Linked DNA regions of Danio rerio. The main gene of each other region encodes a partner of the protein of the gene in region 4 in a complex. Links are inferred from orthologs where the notes say so. Each region holds a gene or a part of one and is shown on either strand. Other genes may lie near its edges.

Region 1 (4,894 bases), on a different chromosome or scaffold from region 4:
TGGAAACAGAATGTACCTGAGCTCAATTTAGAGCGTCACAGCAAAGGCTGTGAATACTGATGAACATCTGATTTTTCAGGTTTTTTATTTTTAATAAATTTGCAACAATTATAAAAAACTCTTTGAAACTATTTTGAAAAAAAACTTTTTTTTTCACATTGTCATGATGGGGTATTGTGTGTAGAACTTTGAGGAAATAAATTAATTTCATAAATTTTGGAATAAGGCTGTAACATAAAGAAATGTGGAAAAAGTAAAGCGCTAAGAATACTTTCCTGATGCACTGTAATAGGTGAATCTTAAAATTGGGTTAACAATCCCAATATTGTTGAAAGTAATAAGAAAACTAACCTTGGTCATGGTGTTACGGATCAAATTGGCGGTAACATTTAACGAAGAATCTTCCATGTCCAACTTGGGCAGCTCTGGTAATTTTGGACCAATCAGAACCCCCGTTTTATCTGCTTCTTTCAAAAAGAAGGTTTGTTCATCTAGTTTCCTTTTTCTGCTCTCTAAATGTGTAGTCCTTGGCATAAATCTAATAGACGGAGTGGAAATCTTCTGTTTTTGCCTCAAATCTCCCTCTTTAACACCTGAAGATGAGGAAGACTCACTCTGCGTTGAGGTTTTTTGTACAGGAGGGATGAAATTATGCAGAGAGCCCATTTTATCCTCTGTCGTTTCATTGGTCCACTGTAATTGTGATGGCTGGGTAAAATGATTTTGAAGTCTATAAGAAATATCTGCTGTTGGAGGCAAAGGCAACAGAGGAAATCCCATATAGTCAGAATTTACGTTCTCCCTTCTGGCTTCTTCAGGGTTTTTCTGCATTTTAGGAGCTTCAGCTGTTCGTGTGTCTGTGCTTGATGATGACTCTGTGTTTACTTCCGCTTGCTGACTGTGTAGTTGTGCTGAAAACAAAATAAGCATATGATAGTTGTTAGACTTTCTACACATGCAATTTATTTAGAGAGAATACCAATGCATTACCATACCTGCATTTCGGCTTGCCCAGTTAACATATCTCCTTCTGTCTTGTAATTTCTGCTTTGTTTCCTCCACGGTTTCATACTCAGGAGCATAGCAGACATGCAGCTGACCCCCGAAGAAGCTCTTTTCATCTGTGTGCCTTTTAGCTGCCCTGTAAAAAAATAAATTAATTAATTAATTTAAAAAAAAAAAAAAATTATATATATATATATATATATATATATATATATATATATATATATATATATATATATATATATATATATATATATATAGCATGGCAATATCCACTCACTGGCCATTTTGCTAGGTACACCTGTCCAACTGCTCGTAAACACCAATTTCTATGCAGCCAATTACATGAAAGCAACTCAATTCATTTATGCATGTACATGGTCGAGACAATCTGCTCCAGTTCAAACATGAAAGCATGGATCCATCCTATCTGCTCAATGACATGCTATCATGTCAATATGGACCAAAATTAATGAGGAATATTTCCAGCTCCTTGTTAAATCCATGCCAGAAAGGATAAAAGCAGTTCTGAGGTCAAACCCGGTACTAGTAAGGTGTACCTAATAAAGTGGCCGGTGAGTGGATGTCATTCAGTGTAACAATAGTTTATAAGAAAAACAATTTTTGTCAGGCATATTTTTAAAAATCCCAGTACAGCTATTTTTACTTTGACACTATCCTAAAAATATATAGTTTTATTAAAATATAATTAAAATAACTACGATTACTTAATTCCATATATTTGAAATAATTATTCTTTGATTTTTGCTTTGGTTTAGAGGGGAAAAAATATGTAAAAAAGTATTTATAGAATTATCAGCAATAAATACTCTTTATAATATTCTTAAAATGTTTAATGGCAGTAAAGAGATTTACAGTGTTATTAAAGAGAAAGAGACACTAAAGAACATTAAAGAATCTTGAACAAAAAAAAAAAAAACCCTTAGATGTTTTGGATGTTAAGTTGTGCAACTTTACAACATTGATAATAATTAGAAATTATATACTGCACAACAAATCAGCAAATTAATTATTTCCGAAGAGTCATGTGACAATAACCATGTATAAATGCGAGTACCAAGCATGAAAATTACCCTTCATCCTCAACACAATACATTACACTTTTAAACAAGATAGAAAATGTGACAATGTAATAATACATCCGATTGTTGATGCTTTGTTTTTAGTTAAAAAAATATTAGCTGACTTGGTGAGCATAAGATGCTTCTTTCAAAATCATTTTCAAAATGGAAGACTCCAAACAATTGTATGGTAGTGTGTGTACTGTATATAGTTTTCTATATGTGTTTATTTAATATTTTAATAATGAATCATAATGTTTTAAGTCACATTTTGTGGAACCTACAAAGACAGTTCACTCCAAAATAAAAATAGACATCATTTACTCACCCGTTACATGTCACAAACATCGTCTGAGCTGAACACAAACGATATTTTAAAGAAAGCTTGAAGCCGGTAACCATTGACTTCAATACTATTTATTTGTCCTACTATGCAAGTTGATGGTTACTGGATTCCAGATTTCAAAATATCTTCCTTTGTGTTTCAAACCACTTGAGGGTGAATAAATTGTTATTGTTACAGTATTTGAGTCAACTATCCCTTTAACTAAAAGTGAATGCGACTCTGCAGTGCACCAACATGGTACATTGAGGTAAGGATGGTTTTAGATTCACACATTCTTTCAATGACAACTTGTGACATGCTCCCTATATTGTTTACCATGGTACTTTTAATATTGGGTTTGAAATCACATGCAAGTATGACTTCAAATCAGCATTACCACTATTTATTTGACTGTGAACAATGTTGAACTTTGATAGTCACTAGCTGCTAATTTGATTCACTATTAAGAATATGCAAAGAATACTTTTCTGAAATTATATCATCAACAAGAAAAATATGGCACAATATATAATATATGGCACAGACTCGCATGGGACATGATTTAATCAGCCTTTTCTTACCGTGCACTCGTCAACTTCTGGAACTGAATTAAGTAAACCTCAGTGAACTCTTCTGCTGGGTATTCATCCAGTGGCCTGTACTCCTCGATCACTCCATACAGAGCAAACAGCTGCACCAGCTCAGCCATCACTCCAATAGCGGGCACTCCTTGAACTAGTAAATACCGAGACTCCAGGTTGATGGTGTACACCTAAAATTAGCGATTCAGCCATTATTTTTATAAGCAGAGATTCAGTTCTTGTGAGAGAGACCTTAAAGACAACATGACTGCTTACATTGACGCTGCACAATTCGATGAGATAAAGGCATTTATAAAATAAACCGACCTTAACAGCTTTGAGGCGTCTTCCTTCTCTGTATTTTGGTCGCGTTTGGGCAACATTTTGCTGCTCGTGATGTTTATACACTTTTTGTGTGTCCCACACAGAGGAACTAGCAACTGACCCGTCCATCACTGTGGAAATCAGCGACGAAAAAAAACAGGCTTTCAAAATAAAAGTTCCAATTAGAAAAAATAAATAAAAGCCCGCTTTCCCAAAAGGATGCTAATAAAAATAATATTAAGAAGAATAATGATGATGGTGATAAAAAAATATTATAATGATAATGACGATGATAATTATAATAATAATTCATTTACACATCCAAATTATGATAAACACTTCTAACAAAATAAAATAAATATCAAAAAGATTTGGACAAAAGTCAAAATTGTAAGATGCTAACTCGCAGAAAATGTCGCAACTATTATAAATGCAGACGAATTAATTATAAACTATATTATAAATTTATTTTAAGTTTTTAACGTTTAAAACAAGCTTCTTTTTTTACCCATTTAAAGGGTTAGTTCACTCAAAACCGAAAATTCTGTCATTATTTACTAGGTTGTTGACTTGTTCCAAACCATTTTGATTTACTTTCTTCTTAACACAAATTAGGATTTTTAAAAATACATATAATACAAAACTTCCATATAATTATTTTCAGCATTCTTCAAAACATCTCTTGTGTTCAGCAGAATAAAGAAACTCAGAAAAGCTTGGAACCACCTGAACCTCTGAGTAAATAGTGAGCCCATTTGATTTTTTGGGGTGAACTCAATATATTACTATAAATTACTAGTAGGCCTATTTAATGTGGGAGATCATTATAAAAATTATTAGAAAATTAAGCAAATATATACTATTCAGTTGCTGGAGTAAAAGATTAACAGTGTTTTACATTTATTAAATGTAAAAAGATTTGTACATTACATTGATATAATGATGTAGGCTATTAGCCTATCCTGTACATTAGCTATATTTCATTCATTATGCATCCATTAAATAAATTAAACCTGTCCAAATTAGATCGTTTAAAATGTTTGAGCAAACGAGAATCTGCTATGTTGACTTTGTCAGATAAATAATGACTGATCATCTATGATGACTGATGGAAAACTGTTCAGTGTATTATATTGAATGGTGATTATTCCCCATTCGCCCGTCTTGATCGCTATATTTGTGAAATGGTATGCCTATGCATTATTGTTTACAGTGTTTGCCTATACAATACATATTAACAATAACCTTATGTGTAAAATATATTGATGATGTCCGAGAAGAGGTTAATAACATTAACACCCGTCTAACTTAGATCGTGTGTGCCTGAAACGTGTGTATATCTGCAGCTGGATAAGTTTTAACCCCAAAACACACACATATTAAATAAATGAATAACGTATACATACATTTTGCGGGGCTACTCATATTTCATTTAATAAATATTAATACTAACACACGGACATGTTTGCACAGTATTGCTACAAGATCATTACTGTAGTTGTAATTAAAACCCGGCTAATGACCAATCAGCAGCAAGGACTGGACATATCCGTTTTATAAAATGGTTTTATCATAGG
Region 2 (4,979 bases), on a different chromosome or scaffold from region 4:
AACCATGCCGCGTTCAAAGTCACTTAAATCACCTTTCTTCCCCATTTTGATGCTCCGTTTGAACAGCAGCAGATCGTTTGGATAATTTCTATATGCCTAAATGCATTGGCTGTTGCTCAATATGCAATCTTTAGTGGTCTTGCGTCCTTGTAGTCATGTAATGTCATCATCAGCTGCCAAAGTTCAGTTCCAAAACTCAAGACTGCAAGAACAGAGGACTCGTGAAACTTCCCGAATGCGTTCTTGATATTGAGGATGCAGCGATGCAGACTTGAGCAACGATCTTGCTAGAATTCCCAGAAGTCATTGCGACTGGAGGTGGGAAGCGCCGCATTTTATTTAGATTTATTATTAAAGTTCAGAGATATCACTTATTTACCTCAGGAGTTTCCCTAAATGAAACGGTAAATATAAACATTACCATAGACATCTTAATAAAGGAATAAAGGCAATAAGGGTGTTTGTTTGCTGAAATTTGTATTAAAATCTGTTTTATTGATACTGTGCAACGTATATTTATAATGTTTTTATGCAGAGTATATATTTTGAAAAGGGGAAAAACAATAACTCATTGTATGAATGCTGTAATGTTTAAATTTTAAATTAAAACGAGTGAAGGTCACGTGACCATCAGGAAGAACGCAGCATCCCATTTCCCACTGGATGCGTTCCCTGTTCTCGTGGTCTCCCGAGTTTGTTCTTCCAAGGAAAACTGGCAAGACTGGTCTCCACAAGAACGCAAGTCCAATCTCTGCATTCTTGGAATTGAGAAACAGCCATTGAGTTGCTGCCATGTGATTGGCAGATTAGAAATTTGCCTTAACGAGCAGTTGGACAGGTGTACCTAATAAAGTGGCTTGTGAGTGTATATTGTACTGATAAAAGGAGTAAATATTATACACCGATGATGGCATATTTATAAAAATAATAATTATAATTCCCAAGTGCTGATTAGCAGAGAGATTGTTCCAGCACATTTTTAAACAAGTATTAATTACTAATTTCTTTTGTTTTTGCTATATTATTTTTAAAAGATACAAGCATTCAGCTTAAGGGTAATTAGCATTCATAAGCAATGATTATAAAGCATTCGTAATCAGGGAATCATTGGAGAACAGAGGTTTGTTCTGAAGCCAATCAAAAATGTAAATATTTCTTAAGGGGGCTAATAATATTAACTTTTGAGATTATTTTTAAAAGGTCAAAATTGCTTTACTTCCTTCCAAAGTAAAATAAATGTACATCTTCCAGAGGAAAAAAACATACATGACATATCGAGAAGATTTCCCAGTTTTCTGTTCAACAAAAAGAACTCACATTTTCACAGGAGGGCTAATAATATCGTCTTCTGCTATATTAAATAAATACTCATCACTTTATAATGAATTGCAGTTGAATATTGATTTATTGATTCAATGCATTGATTTAATTAAAGAATCCCAGTAGGGCTGGGCAATAAATTGAAGGCGATTTTTATGCGCATTTTGTCAGTTGTGAATTAGGATTTAGCTAACCTGAAAAGGTAGGATTGAGTTTTCATTTCAATTGATCAAGCAGCCCAGATTCCCAGCTCTAGTGTTATTGGTAAATCGGAGACTTTACTCACGATGATGCAACCCTCTATCCGCATGTTGACCTGTTCGTACAGCCACACCGAGATTCGGGAACGCTGCAAAGAAGCAGGAAAATTATTACCAACTGCTCATTTAGATTTTGTGCCAAGTGGTTTAAACAAAACAATTTTTAAAAAACATTGTATAAAAAAAAAAAAAAAAAAAAAAAAAAAAAATGCTGGATTGTCGGAACCCAAAATTGGGTCAAATATGGACAAAACCTTTTATCTAATGAAATTTAAATGTCACTTTTTAACCCAATGTTTGGGCGTGTCGATATTTGACCCTAAAATTATATTAAATTATATATATTAGATAATAGTTTAATTTCGAGTTTAATCATAATGGAGTAAACGGTTGGGTGAGTAAATAGTGAGTACATTTTAATCTTTAAGTAAACTGTCCCTATAAGGCTTGTGACTGTGTGAACATTTCAATATTTCAAATTTCAAAACATCCGGCCACAAGAAATGTTTTGTAACTCTAATAAAGATTAAATAATATACAGTGAAGACTCTGCAGTGTTGATTATCTGAAAACTATAATTATATTTTATCTTTACTATATTTTATTTATCTATGCTTGTAATTGATCTGTTATGTATTATTCAAGATTCACTCCTCTACAAAATTCCCCCAATCAATCCAAATATACCTGTTGAATCAAATAGGTAAAGTTGGTTTTATATTTACACATTCATTCATTTAGCACTGCAGTCTCTTTATTGTTTACCATGTTACCTTAAATATTCAGAATTAGCATGCACGTATGAGTTCTAAACAACATTAACACTATCTAATTCACTGTGAACAATGTACTTTGATAGTCATTTGCTGCTCATATGATTTCCCCATTTACAATTTGCAAAGAATACTTTTCTGTAATTATATTATTAAGGGGAAAGTCTGAATATCAGAATATAAAACCAACTTTACCTCTATTTAAATCACCAGGTGAAATAGTTTTCACATCGCAATATAGATCACAGAAATACAAAATATTGTAAAGTCAGATCTTTTCAATATCGCGCTAAATCAAGTGTACAGATATTTTTTCAACTAATTTCTCTGACTTTTCCAAAATTCTGTGGATTTCCCTGTTTTTACAAAACTTTTCCAGGCCTGCAAAATGCTGTGTCAAAATTCCATGACTTTTTCAGGTTTTCCATGACCTGTATTTTATTGAACGTGAAATTCAGAATGTGTGAATATAATTTAACAAACTTTACCTCAATGCTTACAATATTTTCATTTCTGAGAGAACTACCACTTTTGATATTTATCAAGACATCTATAAATCAGCAGGTATAACAGAATAAAGATTTTACTCTACAAAAATACAATAAACACATGAAAAAATAGACATATGTGGACAGATAAAAGCTTGTGTATGTCGCAGATTGAAAAACAAGTACTTACATTCTGTAGATACCTGAAAATAAGGTTCTGAAAGACTCGTTAAGGAAACAAATGACATATAAACACGATTCATAACCTTTTTCATTCATTTGTAACGCAGGGACACTGTTATAATCAGCTCAAACATTGCTAAAAGTATTTAGTATTCAAAATGTTAGCTAACACAACTTATATTACCTACAATAATATGCTAAACTATATTATATTATACAATAATATGTCAAAGTATATTACATTATACATATAACAGCACACATCCAACACATATCGGTACAATGGCGAGAGCTCAATGCAGCTATTTGGCCTGAAAGGATACGATGGGCTGCACCATGACCTTTTGAACCTTCTGTCCTTGTCCTCTGTACGCCATTCTTCTCAATAATATCCGGATGTTATTATAAAAAGTGACAAAATGTGATATTAAGTGTAATAGTTATTGGCGCGGCAACGAAAATCTCACGTTGGCTGCTGTTGTTTCAATGGCGGCGCAAATCCGGAAACAGAATGACGCAGATAAAATGGCGCGCTGATTCTATGTAATGCCTCCTGTGGCTTGGGGAGACACTACAGAAAGGCAGATTCACACAATTTTATATAATGCTTTATTTAAACTTTATATAATGCATACTACTATTAAAAGTTGTTAAGACGTTATGTGCAATAATAATACACCGGTTTCAAAGCAAAAAAAAAAAAAAAAACAGAAATGTGCGCACATCTAAAAATTTCAAAAGCAGGTGCTCGATCAGAAATAAACAAAGTAGCAAAAGATCAAAAGATAATCGGCATACTCCCACTTTAGCTCTCAAAAAGTCCTTTGATGACAAAAACTTTCGACCATGGTCTTTATACCGGTTTCAATCAGCATTTACCCTTAGAGTTTCATTTAAACGCTTTATTACATTAAAAAGTACAGCTATTCCATTTAATTTCTTATTAAATATACCAAGGCTCCGCTGATATTGAAATGTAATGCTATTGACGCATTAATAGATCATAGATATATGTAATAGATCACATTTGAAGCGTAGTTTTCGACGTAGTACACAAGGTGTGTGTGACGTACCGCGCAGGCTTTTGCACGGTCAGTGTGTCTGTTGTTGTTTAAAGAGACGCTCGGCGGTGAGTGATTTAGCCATTTTTATTACATTTATGATTATATTTCTGTTTATCTTTAAGAGTACACAATTCTAGTGAAAAACTGTTCATTTTAATACGACTTAACTGTATGTAAGCTGAGCTTTTGTAACGTAATGTGGCATGGCTATTAGCTAGCCTAGCTTATCTTGTTGTCAACATTGGCAATTATATTACTTAGCTCGATCTACATTTACTTAAGGGAGAAGAAAATAAGGTTAAAAATATTGAATTGACTAATTGTATATGTATATGTTGTTTTAGTTTCGCGTTAAACTCTATAGTTTATTGTTTAGTAGTTGTTTCTCAATAGCTCAGCACAATCCATTATCTGTAGTGACTCTTAAATATTTGTATTATTTAAAATATTGGAATATATTTGTTACCAACTTAGTATATTTCTCTCTTGTTTCGTTTGTGTATTTGATATATTATGTATTTATAATCTGTATAAATAATATATATTTTTTTAAATTGTCATTGAAAATCTGATGTTTTCTTTGTTTATTTTGTAAGTTATACTTTGTCCATCAAGAGGACATTTTCTGCGTACTCTGTGTACGTCTGTGTACTCACTTCAGCAAGTTCTGACACAATAAAAATAATTAAAAAAACAAACATGCTAGGAATTGCATACACAAACAAAAAACATATGCACACGGTCGATCTGTGTTGGGAATCAGAAAGAGTTTTATTTCCAGGTATGTTCACATATTTGAGAAATTTGGTTTCGTGACAGAGCTTGACTGTGCAACATTATTACAGAGACAGGACAAAAAAACAGACAATACATACATTTTAAAAACAGAAG
Region 3 (5,173 bases), on a different chromosome or scaffold from region 4:
ATAAATTTGGCTGTACTAGTTTTTAGACCGTTATCGTAAGTTATTTTGTTAGATAAGCTTCAGATTTGGCTGCAGTACTGACTAATCTAATGTATATGCACAAATATAATATTGTATAGCTTCCTATTAAAAATATGAATTTAATAGAGAGATTTGTGAGGGGTGTACTTATATATACTGAGCACTGTCGCAGAAAAACAAAATATCAGGCATAACTGTAGGGCACACTTAGAACAAGAATCACTGACTTGACGACTTATTTAAATTTCACAGTGCAGCCCAAAATAAAATACAGATTAATTGTAATATTTAATATTTCCATTTGGCAGAATGAGTTTTAAAAACTTGCCATATTTATGATCATTTTTAAATATTACAGACAGGGTTCATACACATTTTTACAACTAAAAAATTCCATGACTTTTCCATGACTTTCAAGTAAATTTTTATGACCTAATGTTCCATGCAATGTCTACATATAGAAAGTCTACAAAAGAAAAACAATAAGTGTTCAAATTTATTACGGCACTTTGTAAAACACACAACAATCTATTTAGTTTAAATTTATATTTCACTCATTCATTCATTTTCTTTTCGGCCAAGTCCCTTTATTAATCTGGGGTCGCCCACAGGAGAACATGCAAACTCCCAGAGAAATGCCAACTGACCCAGCAAAGGCTTGAACCAGCAACCTTCTTGCTGTAAGGCAATTGTGCTACCCACTGCACCACCGTGACGCCAAATTTATATTCATTTCTATGTAAAACTTATGTAGATAATGCTTACAACCACACTAATAATGTGAGAATGTGATTGGCCAAGGACAGAATAGAAGTCAAGACAACTAACCTATATTCTAACCTATAAGTATACAGATATCTGTTTTCCATAGGTGCGTCCCAAATCGCATACTTACGCACTATTCTACGCCATTTTGTAGTATAAATAGTGCAAGTAGTGTGTTCACACTGAAAACTCTATAAATAATAAGTGCATTTTAATACCAGGATGATGCACTCGTTCAACTATTACAATGAAGTGTGGAATGTTGGACACTTCACGCACTCAACAATCTCAGATTTGCTCACATAGCGGAAGGAGCATTGGTATAGGGTGCACATGTTGGATTACTTTATTTATTTTGAATTGTGAAAGCAAAATTATCCTACAAGAGTGATTATAGCGCCTCCCGAAGGTGAATGCGGTTATCCTTGCATATATTATCTGGTCCTTTGGTCATTTATTTTACTAATATGGCAACCATCAAACGTCATCAGGGAAATGGTTTGAATTTCCGTTTAGCAAAATAACAGTTAGTGTTCCATTTGGGACGACAATACATACATATACTATGCTGTTGAGTGTGTTAGTGCAGGGGTTCCCAAACTTTTCAGCCCGCGACCCCCAAAATGAGAATGCCAGTGACTCGTGACCCCCAATATTCTCTGAGGTGGTGGTTATAAATACAGAAACCTTGTATGCAATGACGCACACACACCAATAGACCCAAGTCTATTCTTTGTTTTTTTTATGTATGTCAGTGCTGTAAATGGGTTAGAAAGTTTAACCTGGTGTTCCAAAATCTGCTGCATCTGACAGTATTGCTGTGTCTTTAGTATAATGTAATTACTCAAGAAGACGCAATCCAATAGAACTAGTAACTATAAGCTACTATAGTAACTATATAGTTTATAGTAACTATAAACAACTATTTTTTTCTCATCAGTAGGTTATTGATAAAATACAGTTAGTCTTAAGGTTTAATAAAAATTAATTGATTTTTGAAAATCAACAGGCAACCCCCATTCATTGTCCCGCGACCCCTCGGGGGGTCCCGACCCCCACTTTGAGAACCTCTGTGTTAGTGCATAAGTACATAGTGCTTAATGTATAGCGTGCCATTTGGGACGCAGCTCATGACTTTTACAAAACTTTGTGGGTTTTCCTTTTTTTCCAGGCCTGGAAAATGTCAAGTCAAAATTCAATGATTTTTCTAGGTTTTCCATGACCGTATGAACCCTGTACAGTGCTCAGCATAAATGAGTATAACCTCCTTTTGAAAATGTATATTTTTATCCACGTCTTAGAAAATACAGCCAATAATCTTGGTGCATTTAAACAAAATATTTTTATCCATTAAAATAAAAGTTTGGATACCTAGTGCCTTTAACAATAAAAAGATAATATATTTAAATTCAAACAAGTTATTGCAATATATATATATTTATACAACAGTTGTCTGGTTCTTGAATCTGATTGGCTAATAGCCGTGATATATTTAAGTAATTTCAGCACCAGTAAAGCCTCTTTACCTCTTTTTTTTGTGTATTACTCCGCCCACATACAACCAGCAAAAAAGCAGACACTACAGATCTAAAGTTTAAAAGATGCTTGCTCAGCTGTTTAGCTATCAGCTTATGATTTGAATCCAAGGTGGAAGAAAGTAGTTCCTCATACAAAAGGGTTTTTGAGAATCTCCATGTTTGATTTTGTTTTTATATACACAATTATGCCGTTAAACTGTTGTATAAACGCAATATCACACTCGTAGCAGTGCGATATGGCTGTATATCGGCACTGGCGGGGGCACTAAGGCACTCGGCCTCATGCCAACGCACATCTCCCACCAGATATACAGCCATATCACACTGCTATATATATATATATATATATATATATATATATATATATATATATATATATATATATATATATATATATATATATAGACCCACTAGAAAAATGACAACTGTTTTGTGTTTTATTATTTTTTTATTGAATAATTTTCCCAAACATAATTGTTACTGACTATATGCATAAATATATTTACGCTAAATGATATAACACTATTTCTATTTCACCAATATGTGAAATTATATTCAAATAGACACTTTTCTTGCATTTCAAATGTTTTCTATGTAACTTATAAGTTATATTTAATTTGATAAAGAAACAAAAATGGTACGTCCTACAGTCCCAAAAGCTTGACATGACTTGAAGTAACGTTACATCAGGTTAACGCAAATACCTGCTTTCTTCCCTCCATAAAACTGGGTGTATTCTGTAGATGTAATGTACCTGAAAAACAGAGTATTGAATAAATCATTTGAAAGCTGTATAAAGAGTATAACGTCGTCATTTACATATTTGCATTCTTTAGATAATTCATGTTACGTCGCTGAATCTAATACATGAACATTAATCAAAATGCCGTCGTTGCAGCTGAATGAAGAACGACTTACTGTCCCAAAATTAAAATTAAAACATTACAAACCCTAAATAATACAAACAACGCAAACAGTTAAAGAAGCGTACTCAGTTTTCAGTGAAATAATAAAATTCAACCGTTAGCAAACGTGTCATATTTCACTCCAGCAACTCACATCTTGTCTTTTTGATGCTGTCTTTTCCCCATTTTTGCGACCTAAGCGGTGGTGCTAAATAAAAGAATTAAAATTCAGGAGTTTATAAACAAGCAACACAAACGCACGACTGTTTAAATACTCTACTTCCGGTGTGTCCTAGGCGCGACCGGTAAATGCAACCGACCTAAAACAACAAAATGTTTTTTGGTCCTCTTCGGTTTTGACTGAGATACTGTTCATAAAATTCGTTTTTTAATTACTGTAAATTATGTCTATGCTCAACTTGGGATGTCTGAATAATACTCAATAATGAGGGGGATATTTAAAGTGTTTGATGTTTGTTGATCACAAAATAAAAAAAACATGAAACCTATGAATTCATTCATTCATTCATTTTCTTTTCGGCTTAACTTAGTCCCTTTATTAATCAGGGGTCACCACAACGGAATGACCCGCTAACTTAACCAGCATATGTTTACGTATGTTGTATCCTTTCAGCTGCAACCCAGTACTGGCAAACATCCATACACACTCATTCACACACACTCACACTGCGGCCAATTTAGTTTATTCAATTCACCTATAGCTATGTCTTTGGACTGTGGGGGAAACCGGAGCACCTGGAGGAAACCCACACCAACATGAGGAGTACATGCAAATGCCACAAACGTCAACTCGAACCAGCGACCCTTTTGCTGTGATGCAACAGAGCTACCAACTGCGCCACCGCGCGGCCTACATATAAACTAATTCATTTCATCTATCCCGTGAAACAAGTTGTTAAAAACGTTTTAGACATGCAATCTGCATGTTCTTTTTGTGAATTAGAGGAATTGCTGAAACACCTGAATACTCATTGAATGCACATATTCCCAAATGTTTTGGTTTGATGTTAAATATGTTATATTTAAACGTACAAAATTAAAAATGCAGTTTTCTTGTAAAGATGTTTTTGACATACAATAATAATAATAAAACTTTGGAGCAAATTTTGTTTATTAATTTAATGATTATACAGTGCTCAACATATAGGCTACACCCCTCACAAATCACTCTATTAAATTCATATTTTTAATAGGAAGCTATATAATATTATATTTGTGCATATACATTAGATTAGTCAGTACTGAAGCCAAATCTGGAGCTTATCTAAATAACTTATGATGACGGTCAAAAAACCGAGTACAGTCAAATGTATATGTTAGAGAAAAATATTAAATATAAGTTTAAAAAAGAGGAAAAATCAAGAGAAGCAAAAAAATAAAATGAAAAATTTAGTTGAAATTTTGTAAGTTGTACATTTTTCACAATATTTTGCTTGAATTTAATTGTATTATTTTTCAATTTTTAAATATGTTTGGTGACCAAAATATTTTTTTAATAAATATATCTGTTTAATAACTCTGTTTTGTTTAAATGCACCAACATACATTTCCTATATTCACTAAGAAATGGAGAAAAATATTCATTTTCAAAATGGGGTGTACTCTATTATGCACAAACAAAAGTGGTCCATTGATAAACCTAACATTTATTTGTTTAAAATTCATCTTACGCATTATTTTGAAAACCTAAAATACTTTAATAATTAAAAAAACTATAAGGATGTATGCAATTTTGGAATCAATTTCCTATACAAATTTATTGTAATTTATATGTTCCCTATATATTTTTTTTATTTATTTAATTTTTATTCTCTATTGATTTGTTCATTTGATGTAAAAAAAATTGAAGTACTGTCCCAGCAAGCATTTTTTGTTTTTAACAGATGCCTAATAGAAGTCTAAAGTTATCTTTAATAAAACAAG
Region 4 (4,851 bases):
ACTCCAATTGAAACAGGATTCCCATTATCGTCTTTTCTGGAAAATATTTCCCCTTCCTCCTGGTCCTCCTCGACCTCGGCCTCTTGCTGCGACTGTAACGGAAACATAAACAGTTCATAATTTCACCTTAAGCTTTTCCCATGAACAATGTTAACCCGCTCCGCTACAAACAGTGTTCAGTGACACCATCTCAAATATAAAACGTCAGTATAATCTACATGTAATCGAAAAGTTCTATAATACACAAATGCTATTAGAAACCATGCAAATTATTGATTTGGCTAAAGAGCACTTGACTAGGGCTGGGTGAGTTGGTCTAAAGTGTAATTCTCAATTACTTGAACATTTTAACTAGATCACGATTAATGAATGATTATTGTGTGTGTGTGCGTGTGTGTGTGTGTGTGTGTGCGTGTGTGTGTATGTGTGTGTGTATGTGTGTGTGTGTGTTTTGCCCTCATATTTCACTGACAAGCTTTGACAAATAAGTATGTTTAGATATTACAAGTGAGAGATTTTTGAATGAAGGTTGCATTGCTTGATTTTACAATAACTGAAGAACACACACTATCTATAATTATGTATTGATCATCAACACTGAAGATCTCAATTTAAAACACACATTACCTAAAACCAACAGTCAGTTTTCTGAAAATAAATAACTTGCACTTTTGAAAACAAAATAAATTATTTTCTGTGCTTTTCATATTAAAAGTATAAAACTAGCCATATCTCTTTTAAATAAAATAGCTCTTGTATATCCTGTAAATAATATTTTGAACAGCAATTGCATTTCTTGCATCTTTTGTAAACAAATATTTTAATGTAAACAATAGCTTAATGGAAAATATGCCGTCTCAAGGCATCTCTGGCGCAGCTTACAATCATTGCCAATGCAATGCAAAGTAAGGCTCAAAAATTACACAATATGACTGCAAACACTGTAATGAATTTAAAAAAAAAGGTAACTTTTTTTAAAATAACTAACCTTGAGCTTTGAGAATAGCAGCTTTTCCTCTACCGGCTCCTGCTCCTTGGTTTTTGTTTTTCATGCTCTTCAACATGGGGGCGTTTTTCAACATGTCAGGCAGAATGAGAAAGCGGATTTTGCTGCCACGGATGTAGACCTGCTCGAGCTGTGACACTCTGCCATCTCGATAGGTCACTGTAATGTTGGACATCTGATTCGCAGCACAACAGAAACGCAGTCAGTTGCATGACTCGAGACAACAGACATTAAAAGAATGCGATTTTAGTGGGATAAACTGTTCTTCAGTTCAGCAGTACCTGGCAGTTCATGTTATCCTCTGCTTCGATCAGTTTTCCCCTGTACACTTCACCTGTGTTTGTCTCACAGGTCACAATGTGACCCTCTGCTTCATGCAGGACTTTGATGGGTACGCCAATAGACATGTTTTGAACTGTGGGACAAAAAAAACAAAATTACCAAAAAAATATTATCTATACATCTATATATCTATCTATGTGTGTGTGTGTGTGTGTATATATATGTGTGTGTGTGTGTATGTGTGTGTGTGTGTGTGTGTGTGTGTGTGTATGTGTGTGTGTGTGTGTGTGTGTGTGTGTGTGTGTGGTGTATGTATGTATGTATGTGTATATATATATATATATATATATATATATATATATATATATATATATATATATATATATATATATATATATATAGACAACAGACACTGACCAATGGTTATAAAAGGGATAGTTCTTTCAAAGTGAAAATTTGCTGATAATTCAACCTCATCCCATCCACAATATTGACGACAACATGCACATCATTATGTCACCGGGAGACCTTAATGAAAAGGCTAAACATGTGCACAGGCTGGGGGTTTAAGGTAATACTGTACATAATGCTCAGTTTCTTCCACAGACTGATGCTGTAAATGCCCCCCAAACACAGTTGTTGTGTGTCCTATTTAATGCAAATGAGCTACTGCTTGTAAGAGGGTGGAGCATTTACAGCATGCGTCTCGTCTCGGGCACACAAACCCTTTCTTTGGGTTTATCCGATGACTGCTGCACTCATGTGACATTACAGTTCTTCATATTAAGGAGAGTTTGTTATTTGTTTGCATTTTTTACATTGTCAGGTCAAATTCCTGCTATACTATTTGTTGCCTGTGTACTAAACTTTTATTTAGCATCTTTACCCTCTTACTGCTCTAAATCTATCAAATAAAGTTTAGGATTTTTTCCATCTTACCAACCAAAACACACACGGAAATGCATTAAGATCAGTTCAGTGTATGTTTCTTTCAGATGAAACGGCTCAGACTTACATTTTAGTCAAACCTATTTTTGAGCAATGTTGCTCGGCAATATTGCAGAGTGATTCTGCTTAGCTACTTTCCTATTGATAATGGGTATCAAAATTGTATTTGGATCCTTCATTAGCTGTCCTGTGTCTTACTTGGTTTCTCAATGATAGCATCACTACAACATCTTCCAACAACCATGCTCAAAATTGTTCTGGTATCATCCCCTTAATGTCTTTGATATATATATATATATATATCAGTAAGCATGGGAGGAGCTCGTAACGTCACTGAATCTGAAGTAGACTGCTTCTGATTAATGAAGAATGTGTAAAAAGTGAGTGTATATTACCATTACAGCCTTTTTGCTTATACTGTCGAAATCAGAGTGTAGTTTTAACTCAAATATATAGTTATAACACATTTAACTTTAGCTTTTGACTGTATATGTTTTGTGAATATCAAAGGTTACCCTTTGACTTGGATTTTATTTATAAGAGCCAGGTTTAGTTTTATGAAACAAAAAATAACTCCCAAAGTCACCTCTTAAATAGAAAAAAATAATATGTCATATTTTTTGAGTAATTTAAAATAACCGACTCGTTAGAACGATTTATTATACCTTTTTTGCTTTTGATTCAATAAAATGAACCGACTCTTACGAATCATTCGTTTAAGAATCATGTTCTAAACATGTAACGTTAGCTGGAAAGAATCCACGCTAGAATATGAAACACCATAAAATCATTTGGCTACGGTACTTGTAAAAACTGACTTATAACGTTACTGAACTCAATAACAGGATGAAGCGATAGACATTAATGAATATCCAAGATTGATCTCTCAAACGAGTCGCGTGAATGCAAACAATGAATGACCGAAATATATGTTCCTCTACTAAATAATCGAAAAAGGACTGTATATTTTAGCACAGAACCACGCAAAATACCCCACGTAGTTATCAGGTTATAATCATAAAGCATTACAGTACCTTGAATCTGCAGATTCGTTGAAACACAGCAGCGGAACAACGTGAGCTTGTGCGACGTTTTCCCGCTCCCACAATGCACCTGAAAGCAAAAGCCCCGCCCTTTCCTGAAAACCAGTTGCATCCTGGGAGGTGAAGTCCGTATTAAAACTACGCAGCAAACATCTCAAGACTCGCACACAAGAGGGCAGCATCGAATTGTGCATTTTACTTAAAATAATTTAATTTAGTGTTTTAAATCTGAGTCAAATTAGTGTCACATTCATAATAAACAGTTAATCTAAGTAATTTGATTTAATTTTAAATATTCATATTGTAATTAGTTTGTTAAATCTATCTTTGAAATCCAATATATGAGAAGAACTGTAAATAAAATCGATAGAATGAACCTATTAAAACAGTTTTTTTTAAATATTGTATATTGTATTATATACAGCTATGATATAATATATAAGATGTTTATTTTACTTTTATTACAATTATTGAATTATTCACATTGTTAAAAACAATTGAATTTAATATAATGTCAATTTTATCTTTCAAATTAGTATAGCAATATTCATTCATTCATTCATTCATTCATTCATTCATTCATTCATTCACTTTCCTTCGGGTTAGTTCCTTTATTCATTAGGGGTCACCACAGCGGAATAAAACGCCAACTTATCGTACATATGTTTTACACAGGGGATGCCCTTTCAGCTGCAACCCAGTACTGGGAAACACCCAAACACACTCATCCACACTCAAACACTACGGCCAATTTAGTTTATTCAATTCACCTAGAGGAAACCCACACCAACACGTGGAGAACGTGCAAACTCCACACAGAAATGCCAACTGACCCAGCCAAAAATCATAATTTCATTATTTCATACATTAAAAATATATAAGTAATTACCATAATACACTGTAAAAAATTTGTTGCTGTTTTAAATTTTTAAGTTGAATCAATTTAATTTTAGTAATTTCAACTTACATCAATCAAACTGATTTAAAGGGGACTTTTTATGGCCCTTTTTACAAGATATAAAGTTTGTGAAATCTTTAAAAGTCTCTGATGTCGTTTTGGTTACTGTCGCTTTAAATTCAAATGATATTGTGTTCCCAGCCCTTTTTTAAAAAGGGGAGCCACAAATGCCTGTGTGTCAGCATAGTGGCAGATTCAAAAACAAGACTAATGTAATATGCTAATGAGGGACAGATTGTCACTACAAAGAGAGAATGTCAATCAAAGTTTTTCTGCAGACTAAAATTAATATATTTTTACCATTAGAAGGTGATTATATTTACAGACTGTTCCACACAACTGTTTAGACCTCTTATAAAGGGAATTTTTGCATAATAGGTCCCCATGAAGTTAAAATTGCTAACGTAAAAAAATTAACAAAAATGAACGCTGTTGTGATGTTTGGATCAAAAATATATATAAAATGGATCAAAAATATGCTGTTGAAGTCATAACTATTAGCCCCCCTTTGATTTTTTTTTCTTTTTTAAATATTTCCCAAATGATTTTTAACAGAGCAAAGAAATTTTCAAAGTATGTCTGATAATATTTTATCTTTTGGAGAAAGTCTTATT

The links.
Region 1: snrpd3l (region 4) and rbm48 share a complex: the UniProt entries of both Homo sapiens proteins name them as parts of the minor spliceosome. The link is inferred for Danio rerio from reciprocal best matches to the Homo sapiens genes SNRPD3 and RBM48.
Region 2: snrpd3l (region 4) and snrpe share a complex: the UniProt entries of both Homo sapiens proteins name them as parts of the U7 snRNP complex. The link is inferred for Danio rerio from reciprocal best matches to the Homo sapiens genes SNRPD3 and SNRPE.
Region 3: snrpd3l (region 4) and ppil2 share a complex: the UniProt entries of both Homo sapiens proteins name them as parts of the minor spliceosome. The link is inferred for Danio rerio from reciprocal best matches to the Homo sapiens genes SNRPD3 and PPIL2.

Annotation. Positions count from the first base shown.
Region 1 is NC_133194.1:42,804,503-42,809,396, reverse strand, and holds the start of rbm48 (RNA-binding protein 48), read right to left. Parts: upstream 3,524-4,894; 5' UTR 3,447-3,523; coding exon 3,321-3,446; intron 3,185-3,320; coding exon 2,994-3,184; intron 1,142-2,993; coding exon 996-1,141; intron 912-995; coding exon 352-911; intron 1-351. UniProt on the Homo sapiens protein: As a component of the minor spliceosome, involved in the splicing of U12-type introns in pre-mRNAs.
Region 2 is NC_133186.1:40,122,728-40,127,706, reverse strand, and holds the start of snrpe (small nuclear ribonucleoprotein E), read right to left. Parts: upstream 3,524-4,979; 5' UTR 3,402-3,523; coding exon 3,348-3,401; intron 3,059-3,347; coding exon 3,032-3,058; intron 1,670-3,031; coding exon 1,607-1,669; intron 1-1,606. UniProt on the Homo sapiens protein: Plays a role in pre-mRNA splicing as a core component of the spliceosomal U1, U2, U4 and U5 small nuclear ribonucleoproteins (snRNPs), the building blocks of the spliceosome.
Region 3 is NC_133180.1:13,584,413-13,589,585, reverse strand, and holds the start of ppil2 (RING-type E3 ubiquitin-protein ligase PPIL2), read right to left. Parts: upstream 3,524-5,173; 5' UTR 3,416-3,523; coding exon 3,384-3,415; intron 3,079-3,383; coding exon 3,029-3,078; intron 1-3,028. UniProt on the Homo sapiens protein: Has a ubiquitin-protein ligase activity acting as an E3 ubiquitin protein ligase or as an ubiquitin-ubiquitin ligase promoting elongation of ubiquitin chains on substrates.
Region 4 is NC_133196.1:14,700,062-14,704,912, reverse strand, and holds the start of snrpd3l (small nuclear ribonucleoprotein D3 polypeptide, like), read right to left. Parts: upstream 3,388-4,851; 5' UTR 3,271-3,387; intron 1,422-3,270; 5' UTR 1,414-1,421; coding exon 1,288-1,413; intron 1,182-1,287; coding exon 989-1,181; intron 93-988; coding exon 25-92; 3' UTR 1-24. UniProt on the Homo sapiens protein: Plays a role in pre-mRNA splicing as a core component of the spliceosomal U1, U2, U4 and U5 small nuclear ribonucleoproteins (snRNPs), the building blocks of the spliceosome.